4 linked regions of the Cricetulus griseus genome follow. The protein of the gene in region 1 interacts with the protein of each later gene in a pairwise test. Links are inferred from orthologs where the notes say so. Each region holds a gene or a part of one and is shown in the gene's direction. Other genes may lie near its edges.

The links. The genes of interacting proteins can lie anywhere in the genome.
Region 2: the proteins of Ube2k (region 1) and Marchf3 interact in binary tests that used the Homo sapiens proteins (3 or more experiments, as listed by UniProt). The link is inferred for Cricetulus griseus from reciprocal best matches to the Homo sapiens genes UBE2K and MARCHF3.
Region 3: the proteins of Ube2k (region 1) and Rel interact in binary tests that used the Homo sapiens proteins (3 or more experiments, as listed by UniProt). The two-hybrid records come from large-scale screens. The link is inferred for Cricetulus griseus from reciprocal best matches to the Homo sapiens genes UBE2K and REL.
Region 4: the proteins of Ube2k (region 1) and Trim27 interact in binary tests that used the Homo sapiens proteins (3 or more experiments, as listed by UniProt). The link is inferred for Cricetulus griseus from reciprocal best matches to the Homo sapiens genes UBE2K and TRIM27.

Annotation. Positions count from the first base shown.
Region 1 is NW_023276807.1:132,626,213-132,634,053, forward strand, and holds part of Ube2k (ubiquitin-conjugating enzyme E2 K), read left to right. Parts: intron 1-3,612; coding exon 3,613-3,712; intron 3,713-6,361; coding exon 6,362-6,490; intron 6,491-6,757; coding exon 6,758-6,832; 3' UTR 6,833-7,841. UniProt on the Homo sapiens protein: Accepts ubiquitin from the E1 complex and catalyzes its covalent attachment to other proteins. In vitro, in the presence or in the absence of BRCA1-BARD1 E3 ubiquitin-protein ligase complex, catalyzes the synthesis of 'Lys-48'-linked polyubiquitin chains.
Region 2 is NC_048595.1:182,140,106-182,148,169, forward strand, and holds part of Marchf3 (E3 ubiquitin-protein ligase MARCHF3), read left to right. Parts: intron 1-4,143; coding exon 4,144-4,362; intron 4,363-8,064. UniProt on the Homo sapiens protein: E3 ubiquitin-protein ligase which may be involved in endosomal trafficking. E3 ubiquitin ligases accept ubiquitin from an E2 ubiquitin-conjugating enzyme in the form of a thioester and then directly transfer the ubiquitin to targeted substrates.
Region 3 is NW_023276807.1:83,019,181-83,027,244, forward strand, and holds part of Rel (proto-oncogene c-Rel), read left to right. Parts: intron 1-3,310; coding exon 3,311-3,459; intron 3,460-7,498; coding exon 7,499-7,590; intron 7,591-8,064. UniProt on the Homo sapiens protein: Proto-oncogene that may play a role in differentiation and lymphopoiesis.
Region 4 is NC_048596.1:243,547,221-243,554,397, forward strand, and holds the end of Trim27 (zinc finger protein RFP), read left to right. Parts: intron 1-1,233; coding exon 1,234-1,829; 3' UTR 1,830-3,636; downstream 3,637-7,177. UniProt on the Homo sapiens protein: E3 ubiquitin-protein ligase that mediates ubiquitination of various substrates and thereby plays a role in diffent processes including proliferation, innate immunity, apoptosis, immune response or autophagy.

The DNA of each region.
Region 1 (7,841 bases):
CTCATCCACATTGATTATTCTAGGTTTTACAAATTGGTATGAGAATACAAGTATATTAGTTATTTTTCTGTTGATGTGATAAAATACCATGACCACGAGCACCTTAGAAATGAAAGTGTTTATCTATGGTTCCAGAAGGCAAGAGTCCATAATGGCAGGGACCAAATGGCAGCAGGGAGCCAGAGCAGCTGCTTATCACATTTCACTAACATTCCAGCAAACAGAGAGTGAATTGGAAGTAGGGAAGCTATCTACTATCTCCATCAAGGCTCTACATTCTAAAACTAACAAACTTTCCAAACAGTGCTGTCAACTGGGGATCATGTGTTTAAATACATGTCACTACATAGGCATTTTTTTTTTCATTCAAACCACCACACCAAATGAACCAACTCTCAGGATTGGTTATCGAGTCTTCCTCCTTCATAGGTGTTAGGCATATTGCATGTTCAGCCCAGACAACTCTGTTGAGAAAACACCTTTGGAGTCCCTGTCTCCTTTCATTTTTATGTGCACAGGGTGATTAATCTTTGAGGCCTCTCCATGAGTGTGTGCATGGATGTTGGTATTATATTCTTGAGCAACCACCTTCTAAGTGGCAGATTGCCCTTGTCACCACTCTTCGAGAACCATTCTGGTCAAATTGGAAAGGAATATCCTGAGGGATTGTGGGAAAGGGATAGTTTGCTTCTTCCTGACCATTTTTAAGTGTGTGGTTGAATTCTATATACCTTATGCAGTTTCAAGAATTATTATTTTTATTATTTGTTTTTTGTTTGTTTTGAGACAGGATTTCTCTCTGTAATAGTCTTCGATCTGTAGACCAGGCTGGCTTCAAACTCAGAGATCCACCTGCCTCTGCCTCCCAAGTGTTTCGATTAAAGGCGAGATTCTTAAATTTTTTTTTTGCTATTCAACCTCCCTCCGTCTCTCCCTCCTCCCTCTTTTTTTTTTTTTTTTTTTTTTTTTTTTTTTTTTTTTTGGTGTGTGTGTGTATAGCCCAAGAAGTCCTAGAATTCTCTCTATAGACCAGGTGGTCTTGGACTCAGAGAACCTCTTGTCTCTGCCTTTTGAGTGCTGAGATTAAAGATGGATTGCCATCACCACCACCACCCCACTAAACAAATTTTCTGCTCATTTCTTTTTTCTTCTGTGATTAAAGGTGTGTACCACTCCTTCCTGGTTCAAATGTTTCTTCTTCTTCCTTCTCCTTCTCCTTCTTCTTCTTCCTTCTTCTTCTTCTTCTTCTTCTTCTTCTTCTTCTTCTTCTTCTTCTTCTTCTTCTTCTTCTTCTTCTCCTTTCTCCTTCCTCCTTCCTCCTCCTTCCTTCCTTCTTTTTTTTTTTGTTGTTTTTTGAGACAGGGTTTCTCTGTAAGTTTAGAGACTGTCCTGGAACTCTCTTTGAAGACCAGGCTTCAAACTCACAGAGATCTGCCTGCCTTCAGTTTTTTGGTTTTTTTTTTTATAAATATACTTTTTTATTTTAAGTATATTGGTGTTTTGCCATGGGTGTCAGATCCCCTTGAACTGGAGTGACAGTCTTGACTGCCATGTGGGTGCTGGGAACTGAACCTGAGTCCTCTGGAAGAGCAGTCACTGCTCTTAACAGCTGAGCTATTTTTCTAGCCCCAAACATAATTTTTAAAAAGAAGTAATTTAGTTACGGGAGAGAGGTCTTAGTGGCCTCTTTTTTTTTTTTTTTTTTTTAAATGAATTTGGCCTTTTGGTTGTATGTATGTGTGAGGCCATAGATGTTGAAACCTCTATACCTGTAATTAAAGACAGATGGAAGCTGCCATGGAGTCTGGGAACTGTACTTGTGTCTTCTAATGAGCAGCAAGGCCCTTAATCACCGAACCATCTCTCCAGCCACTGAAATTCCTCAAAAATTAAAATCAGAGTGATACACTCTTTCCGTGTTTTTGTGGTAATGGAAAGACAGATATAAATATTTAAGAGCTAAGTGTGGTTATATGTGACTTAATCTTTATTTCAGAGCTTATTATATGGGTATGGTTTCTGTGTGAAGGTCATAGGATATCAGTATGGATTCTGGTCTCTCATCAAACTTTCAACTGAGTTCTGGGGATGAACTTCAGTCTTGAGGCTGGTGTCATGAGTGTTTTTATCCACTTAGACATCTTATCAACTTCTGTGCTAAAATTTAGTATTACAGCTCTTGGTGGAAAATTAACATTGATGCTCTTAGGAAATTGAACACCTAGGTCTAGGTGGGGGGAGGAAAAAGAAAACATGGTTTGTTTTGTCAGCTAGGATATAGAACTATGTAGCTGTTTTTAAAGGTTTTGTTTTAGGACAGCATCTGTGTAGCTGAGGTGCTAAAACTGTGGGCCAAGCTGGTCTTGAACTCTTGCCTGCCTCTGCCTACAGTGATCTTTAGAGTAAAGGCTAGTACTACCCACCTTTGTGGTTGTTTTGTTTTGTTTTGTTTTCGAGACAGGGTTTCTCTGTGTATCTTTGGAGTCTATCCTGGCACTTGGCTCTGGAGACCAGGCTGGCCTCTGCCTCCTGAGTGCTAGGACTAAAGGCGTGCGCCACTAATGTCCGGCAATCCAGCTGTGTTTTCAAAGCTTTTAAAAGAACTCTGTGTCTTAAATGCTAGTTTAGCAGGTCAGCCTGTTTTTTGGTGTTTGCTGCTGTTGTCTGAGACACGTCTCAGTGTAACTCACAACCCTTTATGTAGGGACCTAAACTTAGGTTCTCTGCCAAAGCAGTACACATGCATAACTGTGAACCATCTCTCCAACCCCAAGTGATGATACTTTAAACAAAAATTTGTCCTATTTTGGAATATAACAGACTTATTTTGGAACTTCTAAAGGGTACTTTATTTGCTTGTTTTATTTAGCGTGTTATTAAAAGAGGTGGCTGGAGAGGTGGGTCAGTGGTTAAAGGCATTACTGCTCTTTGAAGGACCCAAGTTGAATTTCCAATCCCCATGTTGGATGACATACAATTGTGTGTAGTTCCAGCTGGAGGGGATCAGCTGCTTCTGGCTTCTGTAGGCACCTGTACTTATATGCACATAAATGAATATTCTTACAATTCAAAACAATAAAACTTTCAAAATCCCCATGTTAATATTAATAACTTTAATTATCTCTTTACTAAGAAATATGGGTAAGGGACTGGAGAGGCTGCTTAGTGGGTAAGAGCATGCGTTCCTGCAGAGGACTTGGCTTTGGTTCCTAGCACCCAAACAGCAGTTTATGATATCTGTAACTCGGAGTTCTAGGGGATCCAGAACCCTCTTCTGACCTTCTTGGGCATCAGGCACTCAGGTGCACACACATACATGGAGACAAAACACTCATACACTTAAAACCTAAAATATTCTGTTTAAGAAGAGAATGAATTATAAATGGAACCATTAGATAAAGCTTACAAGATAGGTAAGAGTAACAAAAAGAAAAAGTGAAGTCAGATAAGAATACAGTGATTTAAATTATCGAAGAAATAGGCTCATTGTAAGAAAAAAATGGCAATTATACACACATTAGTTAACTCTTATTTAAATTCAGAAAACATACACTTTGTTTAGGTCGTTCAGCACCCCCTTTAAGTGGTATGTTTTCCTATTTTGAAATTTAGGGCAGCAGCAATGACTCTGCGCACGGTATTATTGTCATTGCAAGCACTGTTGGCAGCTGCAGAACCAGATGACCCCCAAGATGCAGTAGTAGCAAATCAGGTAAGAAGGAAGTTTTTGAAAGACTTTCTTAGACCTGTGTATATGGATTTTAATATTTGATGTCAGCATATGAACATTCTATATTGGTACTAAATTTGGAAATGGTTTCATTGGATACATGACAGATGCTTTTCCCTTATGTATGATTGAATTCCATAGTGAGCACCTGTGTAGATTCTACAGTTAGCATTTACCACATGCACTTTATCATTTGTGCACTTTTGTAACCCTCTTTCTATACCTTACTGGCTTCTTCCTGGTGGTGATCATAATAACCTCCCACCACAGAAGTGGAGCTGATGGTAGTGGCATTGCAATGGTTTTCATGGGTGTTGAATGGAGAACTTTTTCCTTTTCTTTAATGCCTCTAAGGGTAAGGTAAGGTACATTCACACTGGCTGGTTTGGGCAATCTCATTTTATAGGAACAGAGTCATAACCATGTGTTTATTTTGATATCCAGTCACACTGTCTGTGGTTTGAAAGGTTTAAATTGTTAAAATCTATGTTTTAGTTCACCAACCTCTACTTTAAAGTATTCTGATTTACTGAGCATTTTTATTGTTAAACATCTCTCAATTTATGAAATACTTTCCTCTTCTCTCCCTATTTTTAAAGTTGATTCCCTGTCTCTGTCTCTCTAAGACATGGTTTATCTGTGTAACAGTCCTCCTGGCTGGCTGTTCTTGAAAATACAAAGATCCACTTGCCTCTGCCTTTTTGGCCATTGTTGTTCACTTTTTTTTTTTTTTTTTCCTTCCTTTTCGAGACAGGGTTTCTCTGTGTAGCTTTGAAGCCTATCCTGGCACTCGCTCTGGAGACCAGGCTGGCCTCGAACTCAGAGATCTCCCTGCCTCTGCCTCCTGAGTGCTGGTACTAAAGGCGTGCGCCACCAGTGCCCGGCCTGTTAATCACTTTTAATGAGAGCTATTGGCTCCTACTGTAGTTCCCCTTCCATTGTATGCACTCCCTGGATGATCAAAGCACCGTGCTTGACCTCTGAACCCCAGATCCTGCCTGTGTGGAGGTGTACTCTAATCCCAGCCATTGGCAGGCAGACACAGGTGGACCTCTGTGAGTTCATGGTCAGCCTGCTGTACTAAGTAAATTCCAGACCAGACAGAGTTAAAAAGTAAGACCCTGTTTCAAAACTAACAACCCAAATCAACTGTTATTCACTCATGACCTAACACTTACATTTCAGAGGTTTTCCATGATTTAAGCTATTGAACATGTTTTAACTCATAATGTTATTCGAATTCATGAATTTTTGGGATTGTAATCATTTTAATTTTTATACTGTTTTCCTTGTTTCTCCTTTGGGAAACATTTCTTATCGAATATCCTTATATTTTTTAGAACTGTCCCTGTGTATGTGTGCTTGCGAACATACTTGCTTGATGTCTAAGCGTGGGCATAGGTACCTCACAGCAGCCATGTTACCTAAGTTTCAGGCTTCAAACTGTTCTTGTATTTGTTTTTTTCCTTTGAGATAGGGTTTCTCTTTGTAGCTCAAATTGTCCTGGAACTTGCTTTGTAGATCAGGCTGGCCTCAAAGTCACAGATCCACCTATTTCTGACTCCTGAGTGTTGGGATTAAAGGTGTATGCCACCACTGCCAGGCTTTTAGTTATCAAATTCAACTTGTCAGGCTTATGCGGTGTCCTTAGCTGCTGAACTATCTTCCCGGCCCAAATTTCTTTATCCTTAAGTTCTTTAAGAACAAAACAAAAGGACTTATTTTTAAAATTATATATATATGTGTGTCTTTGGGTATGAGCATTTGAGTGCCAGTACCTGTTGAGGTCTAAATAAGGTAATATATCCTTGATTTTGGCCACCTAATATTGGTGCTGGGAAGAGACACCTCTTCAGGCTTCCCTTCTCTCTTCCTTCTGCTTGAAGATCTGCTTATTCTTTTTTATGCGTGCTTCCTTAGTTCCATTGATGGACTTAAAGTGCTTGGAATTAGGGCTTTTCGCAGTTTGCACATATGTGCTATTCATTAATAATTTGGTAGCAGACATCTTGTCTTCAGAAATTTAGCACTGATTTTCCTACAGATTTAGATGTAACATCAAAGCTGACTTTTTTTTTAAGATTTTATTTATTATGTGTACAATATTCTGCTTCCATGTATATGTGCACACCGGAAGAGGGCACCAGATCTCATAACGGATGGTTGTGAGCCACCATGTGGTTGCTGGGAATTGAACTCAGGACCTCTGGAAGAGCAGTTGGCACTCTTAACCTCTGAGCCATCTCTTCAGCCCCCAAAGCTGACTTTTTAACATCTAAAATAACTAATAACTTTGCTTGTTTGGTTACAAAGTATTGAAATACATATCTTTTTTTTTTTTTTTTTTTTTGAGACATGGTTTCTCTGTGTATCCCTGGCTGTTCTGAAACTAACTCAATAGACCATGCTGTCCTTGAACTCAAAGAAATCTGCCTGCCTCTGCCGCATTATATAGTAGGTGCTGGTAACTGAACTTCTGACTTTTGACTCAGTTAACAATACCATTCAGTGTTCCCCATAGCTCTGCCCAAATGAGTCCCATCTTAGATATAAATGTATTTTCTTTAGTTGAGATGCTATGTTAACTGTCACTGCATTGTCATGCTAATCGTTTTTTCCCCCTCCATGTAGTACAAACAAAATCCTGAAATGTTCAAGCAGACAGCTCGACTTTGGGCACATGTGTATGCTGGAGCACCAGTTTCTAGTCCAGAATACACCAAAAAAATAGAAAACCTGTGTGCTATGGGCTTTGATAGGGTAAGTACAGGAGGAATTGATTTGACTTCCTCATTCTAAATTGCTCTGAGTCCTTGGGACAGGTGGGCTAGCAATGTTTTTTTTTTTTTTTTTTTTAAACTGTTTGGTTAATAGTGTTGTGTTACTGAAATCAACGATTCTTTTTGTTGATTCCAGGCACTGGTAGAGGAAAGAATGCATGATTCTCTGTGCAAACCTTAGTGAGGTTTTTCAGAGCTTAGTAACTGCTTCCTTGAGATGTGATTGTTCTTATCCACTTCTTTACAGAATGCAGTAATAGTGGCCTTGTCTTCAAAATCATGGGATGTAGAGACTGCAACAGAACTGCTTCTGAGTAACTGAGGCCTGGGAGCTGCCACCAGCCACGCTCGCCTCTTGAGGAGCACCAACATCTGTTATTTTTAGGATTCTGCATAAATTTCTTTTAAACTGGCATTCTTGCCTAATGATGTTATCTAGGCACCATTGGAGACTGCAAAAAAAAAAATAATTCCCTGCTCTGTAAATAAAGCTAATTAAACGTCTGTGTAAATTTAAAAAGGGGAAATACTTTAATTTTTTCTTAATAGTGTAAAAATTCTTTGAGCTAAGCTAAAACCATGGAGAAAACATGCTACGTTAGTGTTTAGCAGTATAACAAGACTAGCGAGTTTGCTTCAGGGTTCTGTTGAATAACTAGGATTAACACTGAGTGTCTCCTGCTCACATTGTCCTGTTGCATCACAGCTACCTTAAGCGTTTGAACATGGATCCTCTGTGCCTGTGAATTTACTTGCATGCTTGTACTTGACTTCTTAGGATGGGTAGCTGAAATGACCACCCTTTTAAGTGTTAGAGATTCTTGAATTTTGAGATTTATTCAGATTTAAAGATGACCTAATCAGAGCCTTTCAGTCCCTGTGGATAGGTCTAAGGACACTCTTATTTTTTCCTTGTTACCATCCAGAGCTAAGATTCTCATGGTGAATTTCTCTGTGTTTGGTGGGAAACGTGCTGAGGAAGTGTCCCTTGTTCCATTTTAGGTCATAGGTTTGAAATGTTTTGTCCGAGTTCTTCACTATGTAAGTAATAATGTAAAAATGGGGCTGCAAATTTTATTTCTCTTACAAAAGAATTAACACTTGATGTTGCAGTATTCCCAGATTTAATAAAAGGACCCTACTTAGTTTTTCAGTGAATTTGACATTTTTAAACTGATCAATCTTTGGAAACTTGAAGGATGCAGCCAACTGTTTCTAGTAGTGTCCAGTTTAACTGGGACTTTAGTTTGCTTTTATCGGACACTTGAGAGTCACTCTTCTTGCACTCCCCATATTGACACATAAAAGCTGTTGTGTCTCACTGTACATAC
Region 2 (8,064 bases), on another chromosome or scaffold:
TGTCTCACCTAAGTTGAAAAAAACACCTAGCATACACATGTACTCACACACAGTTACCATTTGGTGTAAAATGAAAATGTTAATATGGAAATCAAGGAACAACAAGTAGAGGCTAGTCTGAATCCCACCTCTAACTCTCATTGGCTGGCTATCCTTAGCTAGGTTATGAAGTCCTCTGCTCCACCATATCTGTATCTGTGAAGTGGGGAATACTGTAGGCTCTATTCCATAGCTCTGTTGTAAGCACTCTGTGAGATGATGCACAATAAACACCAAATTCCTAGCACTGAGCCTGCCCCAGCTGTAACTCCATATAGTGTTTTAGTGCTTTGGAGCTGTGCACTAGCTAGACACCTGCCTACCCCACTGTCTGTTACTCTTCATTCTCTCCCCCTTTCTCTCCCTCTCTCACCTTCTCTATTTCTTTATCTGTCTCTTCCCCTCTCTCTTTCCATCTCTTCTTCTTCCCCTTCCCTTCCCCACTCTCTCCAAATATGAGTGTTTGTGTGTATATATGTTCTGTACAAAGGATATGTAGATACAGCTATATGGTTCATACTCACTTCCGGAAAACAAAATATGTTTCATAAAATCTTAAAACCACTTCATGCCAGGTATAGCTACTATTTTGTTGAGTATCCCTCTAGTCATGTCCATGCAATATACCATGTCTAAGTAAACCTAAGTTTCTTTGTCCATGTAGATATATCTGCATTCATAGACTCGGAGTATATATTCTGTCCAGAAGAGTTTTTCTGCTCAGCAGTATACCATGTTTATAAATTATCACATGATAATACGATTTTAAGTAAATTCTACAATTGATTTAGATCATTTCATAGTGTTAGAAATTGAAACTAATCAAATATTCTGTTACAAACTCTACTTGAATGGAGACCTCTATATTGGTGTGTATAGGTGTTTGTGTTCTTTCTCAACAGCAAATTACTGCCACTCTTCTTGCTCAGAGAGGGAAAGGCAGAGTAACACATGGGGTTCAAAGAAAACACATATTTTGCATAAGAGTATTAAGAACGCCTCATCAAAATATAATCAGCAAAGTAAGCAGGTCTTCCCAAGAGCAGTACTAACAAGTACAATTGGAGACATACAAAGTGGGCTAAACTAGGGAACAGAAAATCCGAGAACAATTAGAACACAAGACACGGGGTTAGGCAGCTGCAGTTTCCACTGTGCCTGTCACACACTTGTTTTCACTTTTATGGGGGAAGGGAAGCAGTGAGGATTGAACCCAGGGCCTTGTCCAGAGTTTTCATTCCCTCTTCCACTGAGCTGCACGATCAGGCTCTGTGTCTTTGTTTTACCAGATAAATATAGGGCTGGGGAGATGGTTCCATGGTAAAAGCACTTGCCATGTGTACAGATAAGGACCAAGAGTTTGGATCCCTAGAACCCCATAAAGGCAGACATAGTGATATCTATCTGTAATCCTCCCTTCCCCACCATACTCCAGGAAGACAGAGTCAAGATATAGGAAAATCCCAGTAGCTCATGTACTAGCTAGCCTGGTGCACCCACCAGTGTAAACTAAGAGACCCTGTCTCAAACAAGGTAGAAAGAAAGGACCAACACCCATGTCTGTCCTCTGACCTCTACTGTGCACCATTGTATGCACACATATACATTCACACACACAAAGATAGATTAGATAAATAAATAAATAAATAATAGAAATCTAACATGTTTATCAAGTAAACACTGATTCGTAATTGTTTTCTTCCATATCTGGACCATCTGTTGCACAGGGCATTGTCAGAAGGCTTATAGATAGTAATATAACAAATTAATGTTAGTAAAATATGGCCAGCCAGGAGTAGTGGCTTACACCTTTATTCCTGGTGTTTGGGAAGCAGAGGCAGGTGGATCTCTGTGAATTTGAGGACAGCCTGGTCTACAGAGCAAGTTCTAGGCCTACCAGAGATACATAGACCCTGTCTCTAAATAAATAAAACATGTCCAGAATTTCCCAGTAAAAGAAAGGGAAGTCGTAGCCAAGGAAGTGAGCCAGTCTCCGCACACAGTTGCATGTTTACTGAGGACCGTCTTCCTGCAACCACGGGTGCAGAGGTGAGTGTACCAACTTCCTGTCTGGGAAAACCCAGCTCTAAAGGGACTGCTCCGCTAAACCTTGGGCACCGTTGTTTTAGGAGCCTAAGTAATGTCTTGCAATTTAAATTTCCAAATATTTTACTAATCATGTATTCAGATGACATGGAGAATGGAGAGAGCCTGATGGGTCATCTCCTCATTGCAGCCTCTGGGTCACATGGTTCAATCATTCAACCTTACAGAGTATGTAAAATTGGGATGATAATGACCTGTGTATATCCTTTACTTCTTAGGGGTAGTGCCAGTATTTAGGCAAGAAAAATGTTAATTAATGAGAGCTCTTTGAAGCTGCTGAACTGTGTGAGGTGGCATCACAGCACATGGCAGGGTTAATGTATTTGCACCTGATCATTTGGGTATTTGTGTTAAATATTCATAATGTGGGATCCATATCCACAAACAAGCGGACTCCCTGTTATCTGTGTCCTAATGGTAATTCATGCCCACTTTTGAGCTGACGTTGACTTCTCACCCAGTATTCCGGGGGGTGATCACTAGAAGCTGGTGTGCTAGGATCCAGGCAACCACAGGGAAGGACCCCTCCCACAGGCATTGTTCTGTGCCTTGTCCTCCTGCCCCTTCTGTTTATTCTTGAGGTTTCTGCCATGCCAGCCCCAGCTTGCCTTCCCTCTGTGCAGCCACTGTGTTTTGTTTCTGTCCTCATGTATGACCCTCCCTTCCTTCCCTCTCCAGTCATTCCATCTCCCTCGTAAGCCCATCACAGTTTTGTAGGAATTACTGCCCTGGCCAGGTGGGAATCTCTACTCAGCACCCTGCAGGGCTTCTGTTTGGTGCCATCAAATGGCAGTTCTGGGCATGTGCCAACAGACAGACAATGCAGGCACTTGTTTGTTGGTGGGGACACGATGGAAGACAGAGTACACAATGTCAATCCACCCTACCCCACCGCCTGTCCTACAGAACCCCACTTCTCAGGCCTAATTGGCCTCTTCACTACATGGGACAAGTGTACTAGGTTGTGCATTCATGCTAATCTTACAGAAACCACTGGACTCCATTTCTGGAAAATGCTGACACCAATATGTAAATGCAGAATTGCATTGTAATCCTCTGTAGTCTGTGCTTGGGGAAGCAGTTCCAGGTCTTCAGCAGTTATCGAGTGGGACGACAGCAGTCCATATTTTCTTCATAGTCCTTCAACAAGACATGCTCATCCTGGTCTATCCGCACACTCTCGAAGCACTATCAAGGAGTCAGAGGTGATCCTAAGTGAGGACACAGGGGCCAGCTGAGCTAACCCTCCTCTGCACACACTCTCCCAAGTCAAGATACAGGAAAGCCGAGGGTGCATGTACACAGCTCTCACACCTTGGCTGTTACCGTCTGCAGCAGTCAGCTCCCCATCACTGAGAGGCAATCCCTGTAGCAATTAATACTTAAGAGGAAAGTTTTATTCAAGCCCTCAGTTCTGAGGGTGCAAGGCCAAGGTTGGCAGCCATATTGCTTTGGTCCTCTGATGAGGCAGCGTATCCAGGTCAGAGCAAGTGGTCTCATCCTAAGGAAGCAAAGGAATGAAACCCACATCCCATAATCTCCTTGGATGCCATGACCCTGGTAACCTTTGTAGCTGCCTCCCTTTGAGGCACCACCTCCCAGAGTTCTACAGTACCTATGTCACCATCCTGGGACCATGGCCTCACATGTGAAAATCTGGGGGACCGCTCACTGCAGAGCACAGCAGAGTAACCTTTCCTCTGCCCTCATAGGATCATTGCAATTCATAGCAGCAGCCATTGAACTCTTTTCACAGAAAGCAGGTCATCCTCAGCAAGGACATTACAAACTGTCATAGTCATTATTATTCGAGGGACAGAGGCATGAGAACAAGCCCTCCATGCTTCCTTATCATCTTAGGTGGGTCAAGAGTGCCTTTGTCCAGACCCTGAAGCAAAGGCAACTTGAGAGCAATGTGTCCCCACCCCTCGCTGCTGCCATCCAAACTTCTCCTTACTTTTTTTCTGTCTTTTTTTTTTTTCTTTTCTTTTCTGGCAGTGGCTCAGAAACCCTGGCCCCCAGCATGAGAAGCGAACTCTGTTTGGAGACATGGTGTGCTTCTTGTTTATAACGCCCCTGGCTACCATCTCAGGCTGGCTGTGCCTGCGGGGCGCCGTGGACCACCTGCACTTTAGTAGTCGGCTGGAGGCCGTTGGACTGATTGCACTCACTGTGGCACTCTTCACTATTTACCTCTTCTGGACACTAGTGAGTATGGTCAGTGGCTGGGGTTTGGGTGGCTAGAACTGGCAGCACTTCACCACAGGTACAAACCTCCCTGGTGTCTACAGCACCTCTCACCTGCCCAATTGAGAACCGACCTTCAAAGGCTGGCATGGCACACCTGTGTGGCTTGGAGGCACTGGGGGCGCTGAGAATATGAGTGGGAATGTATATACAAACACACTGCAAGGAAGAGCATATCCAATAAAGAAACCCAGGTTCCCAGCCCTCACCATTCAGAACCACACCCCGTAGTTCCTCTCTGGTGGACTAGGATTCCAACTGGTATGAGGCATGGTGGTTGCTTCTGGCTTTTGCTGGGCCTGTGGTAGGTTATGAAGGATTGCTGCGCTGCAGCCTCCTGCACAGATCATGAATCCTGCCTACTGGCTATTTCCTTCCTGCATCCTGACAGTCTGGAGTCTTTACTGGATGTGGTGCTGTGCTCTCTGATGATTATTCCGTGTGTTGGGATATTGAGTCCACTGCCCATAAAAGCACTAATTTATCTGGTTGAGAAGACTTTCGCTGCCACTGAAGAAAAGCCATTTCCCAATAAGTGTCCTTGCTGTGTATGAAGAAGAATTTTTAAGTATTCCCTTTTTCATTCATTTAACTCCACGCAATAAGCTGATTGGAGGCACCCATAAAGCGTACCATTTGCTCCCTCTATGTGCTGCCCAGTGAGAGCTAAAGGGCTGAGGGGGAGGCTGCCATCCTTGAGAATATGTCCAGGGGCCAGCCAGCCTCCTGCTTCCTGGCTTGAGTCTTCTGTGTGGGCTCAGTTGTAATCTGAGCACGTCCTATTGTTATTCAGTAGTATTTCCTGTCAAAAGTGCACCCTTCCCATATCCCATAGCACTGTGTCCTGGCTCTCTACTCCCTCCCTCCCCACCCCTTTCCGTCGCCAATCAGACCCTCTGTTCATTTCCCTATTAGTCATCATGAGCTCTTCCGCTCTGGCCCTCCCCTCCCTTGGTGATGTTCAGACAGTCAGGAGACACATTTCAGCCTCTGGAAGAGGGACATGACTTAAACAGTAGCAAACGGGGTGCATTCTGATGCCAAGAGCTCAGTGAGACTTCTGGTTGGCTAAGAAATTCAACTCCCAGATAATGAAGCCCTACACAAAACTAGTTTTTCCTCCTGTGATGGCCCACGCTTTTTAAAGTGTGTCCTGCTTCACTATAAATGAAACAAGGAAACTGATCCCAGGCTTTCACTGTGATGAGAAAATGGCTAGAAATAAGAAATTAAGCAGGGCTAGGGAGATGGCTCAGTGGGTAAGAGTACATAAGTCCAATGGACCTGAATTCAAATCCCCAACACCCCATATAAAAAATGTAGGCATGGTTGTGGGTGTTGTAAGAGAGTGTTCTAGGGGAGGAAGGCAGAGACAGCCAATCAGCCTAGATGAACAGATGAGCTTCTAGATCATCAAGAGACCCTATGTCAAGGCAATAATGCTTGTGATAGATTATGATGCCCCTCACCATGCTCTGGCCTCATGCACATACAAACACACACACAAACATACACCACACACACACACACACACACACATACACACACACACACACATACACCACACACACACACACACACACACACACACACACACACACACCACATACACACACATAGACATACACCACTCACACACATACACCCACACACACACACCACACAGATACACATAGATACACCACACACACATACACACATAAACCACACACACACATACATACACCACACACACACACACACACACATACACCACACACACATACACATGCCCCCACACACATATACACCACACACACACACATACACCACACACATATACACCACACACACACACATACACACAAATACACCACACACACATACATACACCACACACACACACACACACACATACACCACATACATACACATAGACATACACCACTCACACACACATATACCACCCACATACACACACATACACCACACACACACACCAGTTGAGCAGTGTAACTACATTCCACTCTGTCCACTGCACACCTTTTAAAGTCACTTCTCTGAGCCTATCATGACCCACTTCCCCTGGTATCATGAGGTAGAATCAAAGGAGTACACAGTAAACTACTTTGGAAAGTAATAATTAAGCACAGGGGAGTTTTTGGTTGGTTGTTTTTTTTTATGCAGTATTTTAGGCTTTTCTGGGTCTGTGATTTTTCATAGTGAAAAATCACTATGAAATTTACTATACTATTCACTATGAAAGTGAAAAATCACTATCACACTTTCACTTGTGGTGAAAGTGAAGAAAGGTGAAGCCCACATGTTGGGTCTCCAGAACCAGCTGAGATCTTAAAAACATGCTCGGTAAAGTGTACCCCTGCCAGATAAGAAAGGAAGAGGAGTGATAGGGAAACGAGGAGAGAGAGATGATGAATAGTTAGGGAAATGGGTAGAAAATGTGCTCCTCCAACATCCACCTTTTCCCAGCCCACCAGAAGATTCAGAGTAACAAGAGGGAAGGAATGACTCTCCTCCACCTTGACTGGTGTGACACACACACACACACAGTGTGCAGTCAGCTCAGCAATAGGTTATTGAATATAGAATAATTCTTTCCTAGATAAATGCCGTACTGAGCAGCCCTGGCAAAAGCCGTAATTCAGGAGCTGACAGCACTTGGAAAGTGCCCTCCGGCAGCAGCCCATTGTAAACAAGCTGTCAAGCTTAAGGAGAATATGCTGTGAAAATGTCTCAGATAAACAAACACGGCATCAGTCCAGGCCTGGCTCCTTAGAGGAGCCCTTCTGGAAAGAGCCTCTCAGCCAGGTGCTGTGACAAGGGACACACTACAAACCTCCAAGTGCCTTTGGTAACTCATGGCTACAAGGGCCCTGTAATAATGCGGCCTTGGAGGCCTGCCACAGGCAATCTGCTGTGTTCTAGAAACCCACCTTAAACACAGGAGGCCAGGCCCTCAAGAGTCTCCACTCCCCATGGTTTAGGGGAAGATACATGAATTTAAGTCTGTGAGCAGACAGACAGCTGAGAACTGGTATCATGAAGACACTGGTGAACTGGGTGTCAGCCTTGTACAGGCTGAAGGGTCCAGTGCGGTGGCACGGGGCATCTCTCCATATGCCACATTACTGATGCTGCAAGGCCCAGCCCAATGAATGAAGGACCAATCCCTGGCTGAACTCCTTGTCCCATGGTTTGATCATTTAAATTCTGGATGTACAAGGAGTCTCTAGTTGTACATCCTGCCAGCCCACACTCACTATGGAGCAGCTCACAACTACATTTTCTTCGGGCTTTTTTTTTTTTTTTTTTTGTGGGGGATGGCTGTTCTTTGTGGTTGAAGGTTTTTGTTGTCGAATTATGTGACCTGGGCTGGTCTTGATTCATGGCTATCCTCATCCCTCAGCCTCTGGAGTTCAGGGGATTACAGGCAGGAGCCAAAGCACCCAGATCTTATCAGGCTTCTGTCAGCATATTTGGCCTAAGCAGGGCTTTTTCCACAGCCAATCCAGATCTCTTCTGTGCTACAGCCAGATATACGAATTAGGCCCACTGCAGGAAGGACACCCCAGAACCTGGACCCATCCATGTGCTTTAGTCACCCCAAAACTCCCCAAGAGAAGATTTGGTTAGATTTCCCAAAAGCTGCTGGGATGTCACCACAGGCCTTCC
Region 3 (8,064 bases), about 50 Mb from region 1:
GAAACCCTATCTCAAAACAAAACAAAACAAAAAACCGAAAACAACAACAAAAACTAGTCTGGGGCAGCATTACCCACTGAAATCCCATCTAATTGGAGGCTGGGGTAGGAGGATTACTTGGGTCCAGAAACCAGTGTGAATAAATCATCCCAAAATGGAGTTTGAAAAGTGGTTCTTAATCTTTCATCATTAGATCTGAAATAACTGCTTTGTAACTAGCTTATTTATACTTTATTTTATTGAACCTAAGAAGAATCCAAAGTTAAAACTTAAGTCAATTACTAAGTTATACATTGATTTCCAAATTTCTCTTTTTGTTTTAACTTATATATAGATACTGAAATACATGTTAATGGGATGTCATGTAATGTTTGATACAGGTATACGTCATGTAATTCTTAAATCAGGTTAAACATACTTAACTCTCAAACATTTATCATTACTGTGGAAACATTCAAAGTCCTTCTAGAAGTTTGAGATATACAGTATATTTGTACATAGTCACCATATTGTATAATTGTGTGCCTAGAGCTTTTTGTCCATCTGCTGTGCAAATTGAATTTTTAAAAAAAGATTTTATTTTTATACATGTATGTGTATGTATCTGTGAAAATGCATATTTGGGGGTGGGAACCCACATAGGCAAGAAGAGGCTATTGGATTCCTTGAAGCTGAAGTTATAGGCAGTTGTGAACTGCCTGATATGGATGCTGGGATCTGAACACTGGTCCTGTGGAAGATCATGAAGAGCTCTTCATTGCTGAACTATCACTCCAGTCCCATAACTTCATGCTTTTAAGTCACATTTTTTTCAACAGTATGGATTAGGATTTTCTAAGCTCTTTTAAGTATTCAAATGGAAAAGATGCATTGAAAAGTTAATTTAAAAATTCTATTTTTCCAATCTTATGAGTCATTTTAGCTCCTCCTTAAGAAAATTGTTCCTAAATTTATTTATAAATTCATGCAAACATTCTAGGCCAATGTGTCTTGATCCTCATTCCCTTGCTCCCCTTCATTCTAGTTAATCTGGAAGTAGTGCAGACATTTCCAAGCTCTTTTTTGTTGTTGGCATGATGTACAATCAGAATCGCAATCAGTCCCGCCCCGCAGACTGTTCTTCAGATATATACATCTACATATATATATATATATATATATATATGTGTGTGTGTGTGTGTGTGTGTGTGTGTGTGTGTACATATACATATATCTATATATATGTATATGTAGATGTATATATATGTTTGGGTTTTTTTGTCTTGTTTTTTTCAAGACAGGGTTCCTCTGTGGATTTGGAGGCTGTGCTGGAACTCCCTCTAGGCTGGCCTCGAACTCACAGAGATTCGCCTGCTTCTGCCTCCCGAGTGCTGGGATTAAAGGCATGCACCACCAACACCCGGCTATATATTGGTTTTTGAGACAGGGTTTCTCTGTGGCTTTGGAGGCTGTCCTGGAACTAGCTCTTGTCGACCGCCCGGCTTTTCAGATATTTTTGATGAGATATTTCAAATATCTTTTGGAAGAAGGTATCTTGGAGGAGACAGTGATCTTGCTGTTGCTCCCTTTGAAGGTCACAACACTCCACCAAGATTCTCAGCTTTTCCTCTTACCTTCTATCTCTCCGAGGAACTGCTGGAAACTAGTAGCATCCACAATTCTGTTTTCTATAGGGGGTGTGCAGTCAAGTATGAATTTCAAAATCTGCTTTTTCACCACAAGGTTTTTTCCATTGGCTATGTGTCCTCAGAGGACTGTTTTTGTTGTTGTTGTTTGTTTTTAATTTTTGAACATTTTTAGACACTCTCCCCATCCTCCGTGTGTGTGTGTGTGTGTGTGTGTGTGTGTGTGTGTGTGTGTGTGTGTGTGTACAAGTAGAGAGTTGCAGGGCAGTTCTCTCTGGGTACTATGTGATATCCAGAGATTGCACGATTGCACTTCTTGGTGGCGGTACCATCGCAGCAGCCCCTAATTCTTCTTAAATCATATTAATTTATACATCAAAATTATATGTATGATTTGTATCTTTTCTACTCCAACCCGTCCTAGACACTACAGATTAAATTCTTTCTCTATCAGCCTATTTTGTAGTTTTTACCTCTCTTTCATCTAGAAAGGCAGTAAATATTTCTTGATTACTATTCATTTTAAAAAAGAGGAAAGTAGCAGTGGGTGGATATAGTATACATTGTATAAATAAACATATAAAACTTTCAAAGAATAAAATATAAAACATCCAGGCGCAGTGGTACATGTCTTTAATCTCAGAATTTAGGAGGCAGAGGTAGGTGGGTCATATTTGTTTGCTATTATTTCCAGTGTGGCTTAAATAAGTTTTTTTCAAGGCATACTTATGGTATGACAGTGTAAGAGAAAAGCACTGAAAAACCTAACCTCTAAGTATTTCCTTGTGCTCTGTGGTTAAAATAAAATGTATCAGTTTTCCAAGCAGTGTTAGCACATACATTTAATCCCAGAACTCAGGAGGCAGAGGCAGGTAGGTAGATCTCAGAGTTTGAGAAACCTTGTTTGAAAAAAATAAATAAAAAAGGTATCAACTTAACTTTATTTATTTAGGATTTTTGAGACAGGATCTCATATAGTTCAAGTGGACCTCAAACTCACCATGCAGCTGAGGAGGACCCTGAACTTCTGAAAATTCCTGATTCTATTCTTGAGTATGGTTAATGTGGTACTGGGACCAGGGCCTTATACATACTAGGCAAGCATTCTGCCCACTGAGCTACATCCTCAACCAGTTTTGTGTTTGGTTTTTTGAGACAGGGTTTCTTTGTGTAGCCCTGGCTGTCCTGGAACTTGCTCTGTAGACCAGGCTGGCCTCAAACTCACAAAAGATCCATCTGCCTCTGCCTCCTGAGTTCTGGGATTAAAGGTGTGTGTCACAATGCCAGTGTGCTTACTTGTTTCAAAAGGAAAATAAATAACCAGATGATAAAGTTAGATGAAATTAGGGGAAAAAAAGAAACATTTGAGGAATTGAGAGATACGTTTTTTCGGGCTGGTATTCTCTGGAAACTTTAATCTCAAGTAAGTGGTTGAATATTTGAATTTAGTCAATGCTGACTTCATTATAAAAACTGAACTTGAATTTAGTAGATAAGTTCTTTATATTTGTTTGCTTTTAAAACAGGGTATTATTGTATGTAGCCTTAGTTGGCATTAAATTTGTGCCAGTCCTGCTTCAGCCTTCCAAATGCTGGGACTACAGGTATATGCCACAGTACCCATCTAGTAGATCTGTTCTTAACAAGATGTATTTATGGATTGTACAATTAATTTCCCCTTTCAGGTTATGAACTATTATGGGAAAGGAAAAGTGAGAATTACATTAGTAACAAAAAATGACCCATATAAGCCTCATCCTCATGACTTAGTTGGAAAAGACTGCAGAGATGGCTACTATGAAGCAGAATTTGGACCAGAACGCAGACCTCTGTTGTAAGTATACAGTCACAGAAATCTTTGGCAACAGGACAAGGATATAATTTTAGTTTTTAGCAAAATTATTTTCATATTTAATAATTTACTATGTATACATTTAAATTTTTAATTTTTTTCATCTGTCAGGGACATGCATGTGCTTTGGGGTGTATGTGGAGGTCTGAGTTGGTTCTTTCCTCCACCATGTGGACTCTCAGAGTTGAACTTGGGTCACTAGGTGTGATTGTAAGGATTCAGGCATTATGCTGACCTGCCCCTGTCACCTGGCAGAATGCACTCGGGCAGTACTCTGGTCAGCCCAGGGTCCCATAGTTGTGTAGTCTGCACCAAGGTGCAAAGGACCCCTTGAAAAGAAAGACCCCTGCCAACTTATGCTTTCTTTCTGGCTCCTCTCTTTCCCTCTCTCCCATTCTTTCTCTCTGTTCCCTTGGGGCAGACAGGACTTTCCCTATCTCCCTCTCCTCTTCTGTCCTCTCTGTCTCTGTGTCTCTTTACCTCTTTTATCTTTCCTCCCCTCTCCCTCCCCTTTCTAATAACATTTCTCACCAAGCTCTGACTGCCTGGCATGTTTGTCCCTCCACCTCGGTCACCCTCGCCTGCCGTGGAATCCTCCAAGGTCCCCCCAGGCAAGGTCCTCCTGGAGCTTTATCATAACAGTGATGGCAGATGCCTTTACCCGCTGAGCCATCTCAGCAACCTGATATTTACCTTTTTGTTTTTTAAACATTGGCATTAGAGCTGTTCTTTCATTTTTATGAACAGCACCACATATGATAGGTGGCAGAAGTACTTCCTTGAGAATTGGAAATTTAGACAGCTCATGTAGCCTAAGCTGGATTCAAACTTGCTATGTAGAATGAGTTTGAATTTATCTTCCTGCCTCCATCTCCCAAATCCTGAGATGGTAACACTACCATGTCTGGTTCAGCAGTACATGTTTTTTTTTTTTTTAATTATGCTCTTATTTTTTCTTAAGACAGGGTTTATATAGGCAGGTGGCCTTCCAGAGGATCCAGCTAATGACAGCAGAGGTGTGAAGTTATGTTCATAAGGCACTACCTTAGTTTATGCAGACAGAACTCAAGACAGATTGCTGCCATGTTAGGCCAGCAATCTGACAACTGAGCTACAGGTCTACCACTTCTTATCTTCTAAGTTTGGGCTGTTTTTAGACAGAATTTCACTGTGTTGCTCAGCCTAGCTTCCAATGTGTAGTGTCCTCCTGACTCAGCCTCCAAAGTGCTAGGATTATAAGTAAACATGCATTGCCTTATGAGGATAGATGTACTTCTTTATAATTATTGAAAGTAAATAAAACATATTTTATGTTGTGATTTATCTCTTCATCTGTGAAAAAAACTTGAGGCCATCTTGGAGTACACAGCAAGATATTGTCTCAAAAAAGTTCCTCTTATTAATAGTAATAACACAAAACACAAAAGCACTACTAATGCACATTTGACAAGAAGAACTACTGCCCACATTTTTTGAACTTCCACCAGTGTTTTAAACTTTCAACCACTTGTGTATTGAAATGCTCTTCTTGATTTCTGTGAAGACAAACTTGTTTTAATTCATAGTTTTCTGGCTGTTTTTCCAGATGGCCCCTGTGTTTTCATCTCTGTCACTCTAGTGCCTCTAATCTGTTTGTTTGTTTGTTTGTTTTTGTTTTGGTTTTTTTTGGTATTTCAAGACAGGGTTTCTCTGTGTAGTCCTGGCTGCCCTTGAACTCAGAGATCCACCTGCTTCTGCCTCTTGAGTGCTGGGACTAACGGGCATGTATCTCTAACCTTACTGTTGCAGTCAGAAGAGTATTCTTTAGTTTGCTCTGCTCACAATGCTTTTTCATAGGGCCATTTCATGTTCTGTTCCTTTTATCTTCCTAATCCAGTTCATATTATCACTTCCCACAGGAAGTCTGCCTGCCCACCTTGAATTGATCCCATTATATTCTCCTTCCTATAAAGTATATTTACCTTCATAAAAGTTGTTATGATTCAGTTGAGTGTTTTTGCCTGTGATTATCTGGTAGTTCACCAGACTTGAGCTAGCAAGTTTTCCTGTAAATGGCTAGTAGTATCACAGGCTTTACAAGCCTTTTGGATTCTGTGTCCTACTCAACACTGCTGTTGCTGCAGGAAAGTGGCCACAAATGATACATGAGTGTATGGACATGTTTGTGTTTTAATACAAACTTTATTTGCAAGAAGAGCAATATGCTGAATTTGGCCCATGAATTAGAGTTTGCCAATTCCCCATTCCAGACACTGAGGTTCCATGAAGGGAGAAATTGTACATCTCCATTCCTTTCTAGAATTTTAATGCACAGCTGGAATTCCAAAGTGTATTGAATGACTGCGAAGGAATAAATGGGAGGATGAACCAAATACCCTAATGATTCTTGGTTTCCTTAAGTCAGATTTATTTTACTCATTCCCTTCTTTTCTCTTTCTTCTAGTTTTGGGTGTCATGAATGCTGAACAAGTACTATATTATTGAGTTAATAATGTCCTAGCTCTTGGAATTTTGAAGCTCCCCATTAGTTTTAATATCCTATGCATAGCAGATAGGACTATTCAGATAAAACAAAGCTAAGTAGTGTATATAAGGTTGAAGAAGTCTTTAAAACATTTTATTAGAAAAAAACTAAAAAGCACTAAGAATCTTTCAAAGAAAGAATTATTTTGTTAAAGGATTTCAAGAAAGGATTAAGAATTCATAACTTATTTATTTTGTTATTGGAGGTGGAGGAAGGAAATGGCAAAGTTATTTTAGGTGCTAATAAAGTCACAGGTGTGAGTGTCAAGCATGAAGCATGAACATTAAGGCAGCATGAATGTGGAGTAAGGTGACCCAGGCAGCCTCTGGCTGCAAGTGCCAAATGAAATGTGAAGAAATAGTGATGTTCTTATCATTGAGTTTTGCTTCCTTATTCACACCCACCCATCTCGAATGATGTCATGGTTTTTCCATGTGGGAACAAGTATGACTGGGTGGTGGTAGGGGAGTTCCCCCCACCATCATCTTTATTACACATATGCAAATGAATAATATTTGTAGTTATTGAGAAGTTTTCCATAAATGACCTTTTGAAACTGTTGCTAAATATTGTTAGTATTAAACCTTTCTAATAAAAAACACTTCACTCCTTTTATTGTAATCCTATAACATGGCATACAGTGCATTTTATAATCTTTGAAAAAACTCGAGACCAGCCTACATAGCAAGACACTGTACAGATGCTCACTGTGATTTGATGTATTTGACGATAACACTTTTCAGTGATGAGCTAGGGAGGCAGCATAAACGAATAGAGGAATCAAGTATAAGTGGAGAAACTGTACATAAATGGGGCCACAGTTGTCTCTGTGCCCATGTTCATGAAGCCAGGAATACTGATGTTTGTCTCTTATTACTTGAGTTTTAAGTTCCATAAGTTCCATAAGATTTTTAAGTGCAGTGACCACTCCTATGCAATCCTTTAAAAATATAAGTTAACACTGCTATAGGAGCCAGACATTGTCTTTGTACTTCTTGATACACAAATTTTAGTGAGTTGATCATGAATTTGTTTGGAAGGTGAAATTTTGCTTTTTGGTGTTTTTTTAAAAATGTTTATCTACTTGGTATATTTGACTAAGCATATCGGTAATATATAGTTATAAAATAGTATATTTAAAAGTGATATAGTACTATATATACTTTTTTGGTTTGGAATTTTAAGATAGGATTTCCCATAGTCTAGACTAGCCTCAAACTTGCTAGGTAACTGAGGATGGTCCACTTGCCTCCATCTCCCTAGTGCTGGGATTAAAGGCATGTGCCACCATGTGCTCTATTTTTCTATTGATAATTCTTTCAGATAGTCCTACTTTTTGTTACTTTTATATCTTTATTATCACAATTAGAGTAGGATTCATGATCTAGTAGCTGGATTTGACAAGAAGGTGACTTCCCAGTGTTGAATATGTTTGATTTCTGTCATATTTTTATTTTATTGTGATATGATTTTGAAAGTTTCATTTTTTGCTTTTAGTTTTCAAAATTTGGGTATTCGGTGTGTAAAGAAAAAAGAAGTGAAAGAAGCTATTATTTTAAGAATAAGTGCAGGAATCAATCCTTTCAATGGTAAGTTTTTTGTTATAATTTCTCCTATAATTTGGATATCAATGGACTGTGATTTCTATTTATAATTCTACTTGTTGACTTATATGTGTACCTGAGGAATCAAGTGTATTTAAGTAGACAGTGTCTTTGTTTTCTTTGAGGAACTCCCCTTCTCCTTTCTAATGGTTTATTTTGACATAAAGTCTTCCTTTGTAGCTCTGACTGGTCTGTTACTACATACTGCAGACCAACCTTGAACTCCCAGCAATCTTCCTTCATCCTCCCAAGTGCTCGGATTGTAGGTGGGAGCTACCATGTCTGGCTAAAGCAAAGAAATGAAAAACTAAAACCTTATCCAGGTGTTTTGATTATTTTTGAATATGTTTTTTCCTTAAGCTACTTGTCCAACAAACAGTATTCACTTTTCTGAGTGCTGAATATGCACCATGTTATAACATACTTTCCTCTCTCACCCCCACAATTGTTTTTTTAATA
Region 4 (7,177 bases), on another chromosome or scaffold:
GCCTGCATGCATGTCTGTGTACCATATGTGTCCCTTGTACCGCTACAGATCAGAAGAGGGTATTAGATCCCCTGGGACTTAATTTACAGACTTTTATGCCATGTGGGTACCATGAATCAAATCTGGGCATGCTTAACTGCTAAGCTATTTCTCCAGCCTTATTTTTATTTTTTAAGTTATGTATATAGATTATATCCATGCACATGTGGGAACAGTGGGAGCCCAGAAACAGTGTTAGATTCCCTGGAGCTCAAATTGCAAGTGTTTGTGAGCCACCTGGTTAGGTACTGGGATCCAAACTCAGGTTCTCTGGAAGAGCAGTATGTGTCTTAATTTCTAAGCTGTCTCTTCTGCCCTATCATGAACCTTTTATTGGAATGGTTTGATCTGACTGGGTTTTCCTTTCGGAGAGAGAGTGCATGGGAACCCTGTCCTGAACAGGATGAAAGGAGACATGTACATTTGAAGCTACAATTCACATGAGTGTAAAGACAATAGTACTAAATACCAAAGGACATGGCATGAATTATCCACAATGTTAGATTCAAAGCTAGAGTAATGAATAAGCTACTTAAGATAAACCAGGCAGCCAGGTGAGGTGACACACATCTTTAATCCTGGCACTTGAGTGGAAGAAAGCAGGTGGATCTCTGAGTTCAAGGCAAGGCCAGTGGTCTACAGAGTGAATTCCAGGACAGCCAGGCCTATGTAGAGAGACCTTGTCTCAAAAAAAAAAAAAAAAAAACCTAGGCAGAGGCCAAATGTAGTTGGGTATGCCTGTAACCCTAGTGGTTGGGAAGCCAAGGGAATTGGCAGCTTAAGACCATGTTTTGCTTCATAGTTTGTTTGAAGCTAAAATATCTGATCTGTATAGATTCTCTCAGAAAAGGGAAGGAGAAAACATGAATAGGGTATGGATGTGTGGGACAGAATCTGAGAAGAAATGAAAGAATTAACAAGAATTCTGAACTCCATAATATCTGTAAGACAAAGTTTCATTGGTTTTTCATCAAGTTAATTAAAAGAGCAACTCCTGCATTTATGTGGCCAGGAGCCTCCGTGTGTTGTGTTTCCCAGGATGTCTGTTGTGCTGAGTGTACACGGCCACCGCTATATTAGTAGTTGTCAGCTTCGTCTTAAGCTGTGTTCAGGGAAGTAGGCGGAATGTCAGGTGGTCTTGAGTGGGCGGGCTCCTCTCATTTTCAGCTGACCCTCACTTCTTTGTTTCTACAGTTGATGTGACCTTGGACCCAGACACAGCCTACCCCAGCCTGATCCTTTCTGATAATCTTCGCCAAGTACGGTACAGTTACCTCCAGCAGGACCTGCCAGACAACCCTGAACGGTTCAATCTGTTCCCCTGTGTCTTGGGCTCTCCGTGTTTCATCGCTGGGAGACATTACTGGGAGGTAGAGGTGGGAGATAAAGCCAAGTGGACCATAGGTGTCTGTGAAGACTCAGTGTGCAGAAAAGGTGGGGTGACCTCAGCACCCCAGAATGGATTCTGGGCAGTGTCGTTGTGGTATGGGAAAGAATATTGGGCTCTTACCTCCCCAATGACTGCCCTCCCCCTTCGGACCCCTCTTCAGCGGGTAGGGATTTTCTTGGACTATGATGCTGGTGAGGTCTCCTTCTACAATGTGACAGAGAGATGTCATACCTTTACTTTCTCTCACGCTACCTTCTGTGGGCCAGTCCGGCCCTACTTCAGCCTAAGTTACTCGGGAGGGAAGAGTGCAGCTCCTTTGATAATCTGCCCTATGAGTGGGATTGATGGGTTTTCTGGCCATGTTGGGAATCACGGTCATTCCATGGAGACCTCCCCTTAAGGAAGTGAACTTAGACCACAAGTGCTGTTGGCTATAATCCTACCCCAGGTCAAGGGATCTTGTTGTCTTGTCGATTTCTGTCCATCAAAGCTGGATACCCTTACCGTTTTCCATGCCCTTACAGTGAGAGACAAGATGTTCATGGTCTCTACTACACTTTCCCTTCCCTTGCAGATTGTGAGATGTAATGAGAAGTATTGCTATTTCCCAGAAATAAAAAACAGATTCCTCCTCCTGTGTTTCACACTTTTCTTGGTTTTTTACACATGACTAAAGTAGATAAAGAATATGGATAGGATTTGGAGAACCACTTTTGAGGTTCCTGTCCTGGCTTTTCTCAATGATGAACTGTGATGTAGAAGCCAAATAAACCATTTTCTCCCCAAGGTGCTTTTGATCAGTGTTTATCACAGCAACAGAGAAGCTAAGACAGAAATTGGTACCAGGATTGTGAGCTATTGCTGTAATAGACCTGGCCTTGTTTTAAGAAGGATTATGGAAGTGTTTAGAACTTTGGTTTGAAAAAGTCATTGAATATAAAAAGTATAATGAGTTTTTAAGAGTGTTGAGAGGAATACAGATGATAGAGACCAGACTTATGAAGATTCATTGGGAAGCAAAGAGTATTGGGGTCGTTGTAAAAATATATTTGAATTACGAATGTGTGATTTCTGGACAGCTGGGGCTGAAAAATTGACTGTGAATAACAAAAGAGACCAGTATGACCGAAGTGAAACCTTTGCTTTACTGGGACAGTGGATGCTGGCTAGCTGGCACTGAAGATCAGCTGATTGAGGTGAAATCTTCTGGGAAGTATTTCCTTAGGGTCGGCTCACAGAACCTGTCTTCCAGAGGAGGCCAATCCTGCATCTCAAGCTAGTAGCAAAACTTGGTAATGTGTCAGGATCTCCCATGTGGTACTGGTTTGACTGCATGAACAACAAGATTAAAGGGGTCCTGGAGAGAAGCTGAGGTTTGGCATCCTGTAGTGGGATCAGAGTCCCTGAAGAGAGCCCAAGAGAAGCTATTGGAGAAGGTGCAGCCAGTTGCAGTGGAGATTCCGGCATATTGGAGATGACAGGACTGTAGGATGGTCACCAGGTATAACAGCAGATGTGGAGCGGAGCTGGTGTAAGCCTACCAAACAAGTCTGTGCTGCATATGGCAGAGCTGGAGAGGTGAAGCTATGTAAGCTTTGGAGCCCAAAAGATCATGAGTCCCAAATGCTGGGCATTCAGTTACTTAACTATTCAAGTTTGGTTTTGCTTTGATTTGTTTGTAACTGTGCCCTGGTTCTATTCTCCTGGAATAAGAAAGTATGTAACTTATATTTTGATTTTACAGGAATCCACTTAATGACATTTTGGACATTTTAAAGAGAATTTGAAGTTTTAAAGTGTTTGAATTTTTTAAAGACTAGAACTTTAAAGTAATTTTTATTACTATTTGTGTGGGTATGTGTACATGTACATGCGCATGAGTACAGCTGCCAACAGAATCCAGCTAAAATCATCTGGGAAGAAGGAACTTCAACTGAGAAAGTGTCCCTATCAGACTGGCCTGTAGACAAATCTAATGGGACATTTTCTTGATTAATGATTGGTATGCGGGAGGACAAGCTCATTGAGCAGTGCTGCCCCTAGTCAGGTGGTTCTAGGCTGTTTTTTAAAAAGCAATCCAATAAGCTGTGGTCTCTGGTTCTCTTTGTTCCTACCTCCAGGTTCTAGCCCTGAGCTCCTTCCTGCCTTGACATTCAGTGATGGACTGTAATGTAGAAGTGCAAGCCAAATAAACTCTTTCTACCCAAGATGCTTTTGGTCAGTGTTTTATCGTAACAGTATAGAACAAACGTAAGACCCACTATTTTTGGACCATGTCTCCCATCTGAGAACCCAGGATGGAACCACAGATTTTGAAACGGCTCCCTTTCTCCTACCTTTTTTTTTTTTTTCCCCCATGGAACAGTAACTCTACTCTGATTGCCAGTTATTTTACTAACCCTGTTAATATAATTTATGTTTTGGTTACAGTTATTTTATACTAATGGTGAGAAATTACCCCATCTGTGTAGTGGCAATGTTTTAACCAGCGTCTCTTCCTCAGTCACTTTCCAAAAGCTTTGTTGGAAGGTCTGTCTTGGTGCTAGGCCTGTGTTTATCATCTAAGAATATCCTTGGAGTGTTTGTGAACTGGTAGTCATCAAACTCAATTTCTGGAAGGGTTGAATCAGTACTCTAGGGCTTCATTGCATCCCTGTGGGATGGGGATGCAATGTGTTTTTTTATGTGTGCCATTTGAGGCAACTCCACCCACAGTCTTTGGAGTCGGAAGCTAAGGCCACTTTGAACAAGCCCTGCTGTAGTTCTTAGTCCTGCTCCCCTTTGGTTTCCAATCTAACTGGGGCTTGGAGCTGGGAGGATGGAGCCTCACAATGAGGTGGACTGAAGTATCATGCAATAGCTTTCTTTATTCAGAGCATCAAACAATTTATACTCTGAGGGTTGAGAAGATTCACTGAGTAAACTGCATGTTGCAAAACCATTTTTCCACAGTCATAAACAAGCAGTAATATCCAGTTGTAATGAATAATCTAAACTATCTGCTACACCTGGGAGGAGCATGAAAACACATTCCAAGAATAAATCCATGTTTTTGAAGAAACAGGACATAAGACTCTTGTCTTGTTGGAGTTTTCTCACAAGCATTCAAAATTTCCCTCACACAACTTCATTCTTGGGCTGTGTACTGACACTACTGTTTTAAAAATAAAGTGACTATGTATGTTTACATTGCTGTTCTTTTTTGGGTCTTGGGTGAAAAGTGGTGGTAGGGGCTATTGATATTCCAATATGGGTCTATAATCCCCTCCCACATGGTAGCTTCCAAGTAGTTTATATAATAGTTTTTCAGTGCCCTGCCTGTTTCTAATGATGAGAAGACAATGTGCAAATCCATGGCATAGCCCTTGTATTGTATGGTCCTGTAATTTCATTGGGAGAATGTTGTTTCCAGGCCTGAATGTGTTTATCTGATTATTACAATTGTTGTGGATTTTTATTTTTATTTTTGAGACAGGATCTCTTTGAATCCACACTGTCCTTACTTGGTATGATCTTCCTGCCTTGGTCCTTTGGGTGCTAGGATTACAGACAGAAGCCATATGCCCATCTGAGTATGTTTTTTGTTGGTTGGGTTTTGTTTTTTTTGTTTTTGTTTTTTTTTCTGAGACAGAGTTTCTCTGTGTAGCTTTGGAGCCTATCTTGGCACTCGCTCTAGAGACCAGGCTGGCCTCGAATTTACAGAGATCCTCCTGCCTCTGCCTCCCGAGTGTTGGGATTAAAGGCATGCACCACCAATGCTCGGCTTTGTTTTTGTTTTTTTTGTTGTTGTTGTTGTTTGTTTTTGTTTTTATTTTTGTCTCTGAAGTAATGCAGCCCTGAATGGAAGAGATTGGAGCGCTCAAAACACGCTTCTCAACACAAAATAACCAGCCCAAGCTTGTGGGTGATGTCACCATGTGCTATAGAAGATGACGATGAGAAAATAAGGCTCAGGAATTTGTATCTTAGCTGCTTCTGCACATTGCCCTGGAATACTAAGATTGTTCAGTTACATACACATCCATACATACTCATTCCTGGTCTATCATTGGGCTTCCATGGCCAAAGACCTTTAGTAGATGTGTCCTAACTAATGAATAATGCCCCAATTCTTTATTCTTTATTTTTTTTTTTTTTCAAGGAAGATAGTACAGCCAACCAGGGACCCAGGTGCTTCAACAAATAGTGATGTATAAATGCTTAGGATAATACACGTGCATTTGAAACACTGACAGCAGTGTTTGTCTCTGAAGTTTTCTGCTCAGTAACTTAATGCATATTAGGGCTTTATGAAGTGTATGTAGTTGCCCTTGAGTTGCAAATAAACTGAAGCAGAAAGAGGATCAATGATTTATCTACCTAAGGTGTGCAGCTAGGAAGCAGCAGAGTCAGGTCCAAGTGAGATTTAGCATGCCCACAAACATCAACTTCTGCCACATAGTGTGTATACATACTGCTCTCTACATGTGAAACGTTGAACAGAGTGGATACTTTGAAGTGCTGATTTGCTGGCTTGGAATACCTTCTTTAAAACTGTTCACTACAGAAGATGTGCAGTTGGAGAATGGGATGGAATCTTAAGTCAAAATTACATGCCCTTTCACTTAGTACTTGAGGAGAAAGAAAAACCCACAAAGAGGATGTTCCATACCTATCCACAGGGTGTGCCACCACACCCAGTAATGGAGCAATCTTAGCCGGACAGGATCTCACAGAGTCTACTTTGGGCCCAGTTGACCTGATATAGTAGTTGCAGCTTCTCGCTGTACTTTTGCTAGAAGCAAAACTGGAGCAGACAAGTAGCCTTGTGCGTACTAAAGTTCCTGATTTGAATAAAAACATGTATAGAGGTGAACTTAAGATGGCTCAGGGAAAAGACACTGGCTGAGCAAGGCTGGCAACCTGAATGTGACCCTTGAAACTCAAAGTTCTACAAAGTCTGGAACCCACTTAGAATTGATTCCACACATCCAGCATTGGCATGCAGACTCAGTAATACTGAATTTAAAGTTTGTTTAGGGCTAGCAAGATGACTCAGGTAAACGTTTCTGCTGAGTTTGTAGAAGGAAAGAACTCTCTGAAGTTGCCCTCTGACCTCTACAAGTGCCATGCATGGTACATGAGAGGTGTGTGTGTGTGTGCACTCATGCACGCATTTGCACAAATAAATATTTATAAAAAGGGATTTTCTTTGAGCCGGGCGTTGGTGGTGCAGGCCTTTAATCCAGCACTCGGGATGCAGAGGCAGGCGGATCTCTGTGAGTTTGAGGCCAGCCTGGTCTCCAGAGCCAGTGCCAGGATAGGCTCCAAAGCTACACAGAGAAACCCTGTCTCAAAAAACAAAAACAAAACAAAACAAAAAAGGAATTTTTGAATGTTAAAGGTAGAATTTAATGTTGAGTGAAAAAAATTATCAGTCATGTTAAGTTCATGAGTGATCACCATTATTTGAGTGTGTGGGAAGATGAGCAAGAGGAGGCAGCCAAGAGTGATGTTATTGGTCATTGTTTTTTTGTGGTGATGAGTACATGAGTATTTAAGATTTTAACTTTTAAAAAGTCCTGCCATTTTGAATGGGATTAAATTACTAAAACTGGGTTGGAGAGATGGCACAACAGTTAAGAGCACTTGTTGCTCTTGGAAAGGACCCTGGTTTGGATCTCCGTAACCCAATCCCATACTCTTTTCTCACCTTAAGGCACCGATGTAGTGCACATACATACATGCATGCAAAACCCTCCAACACAC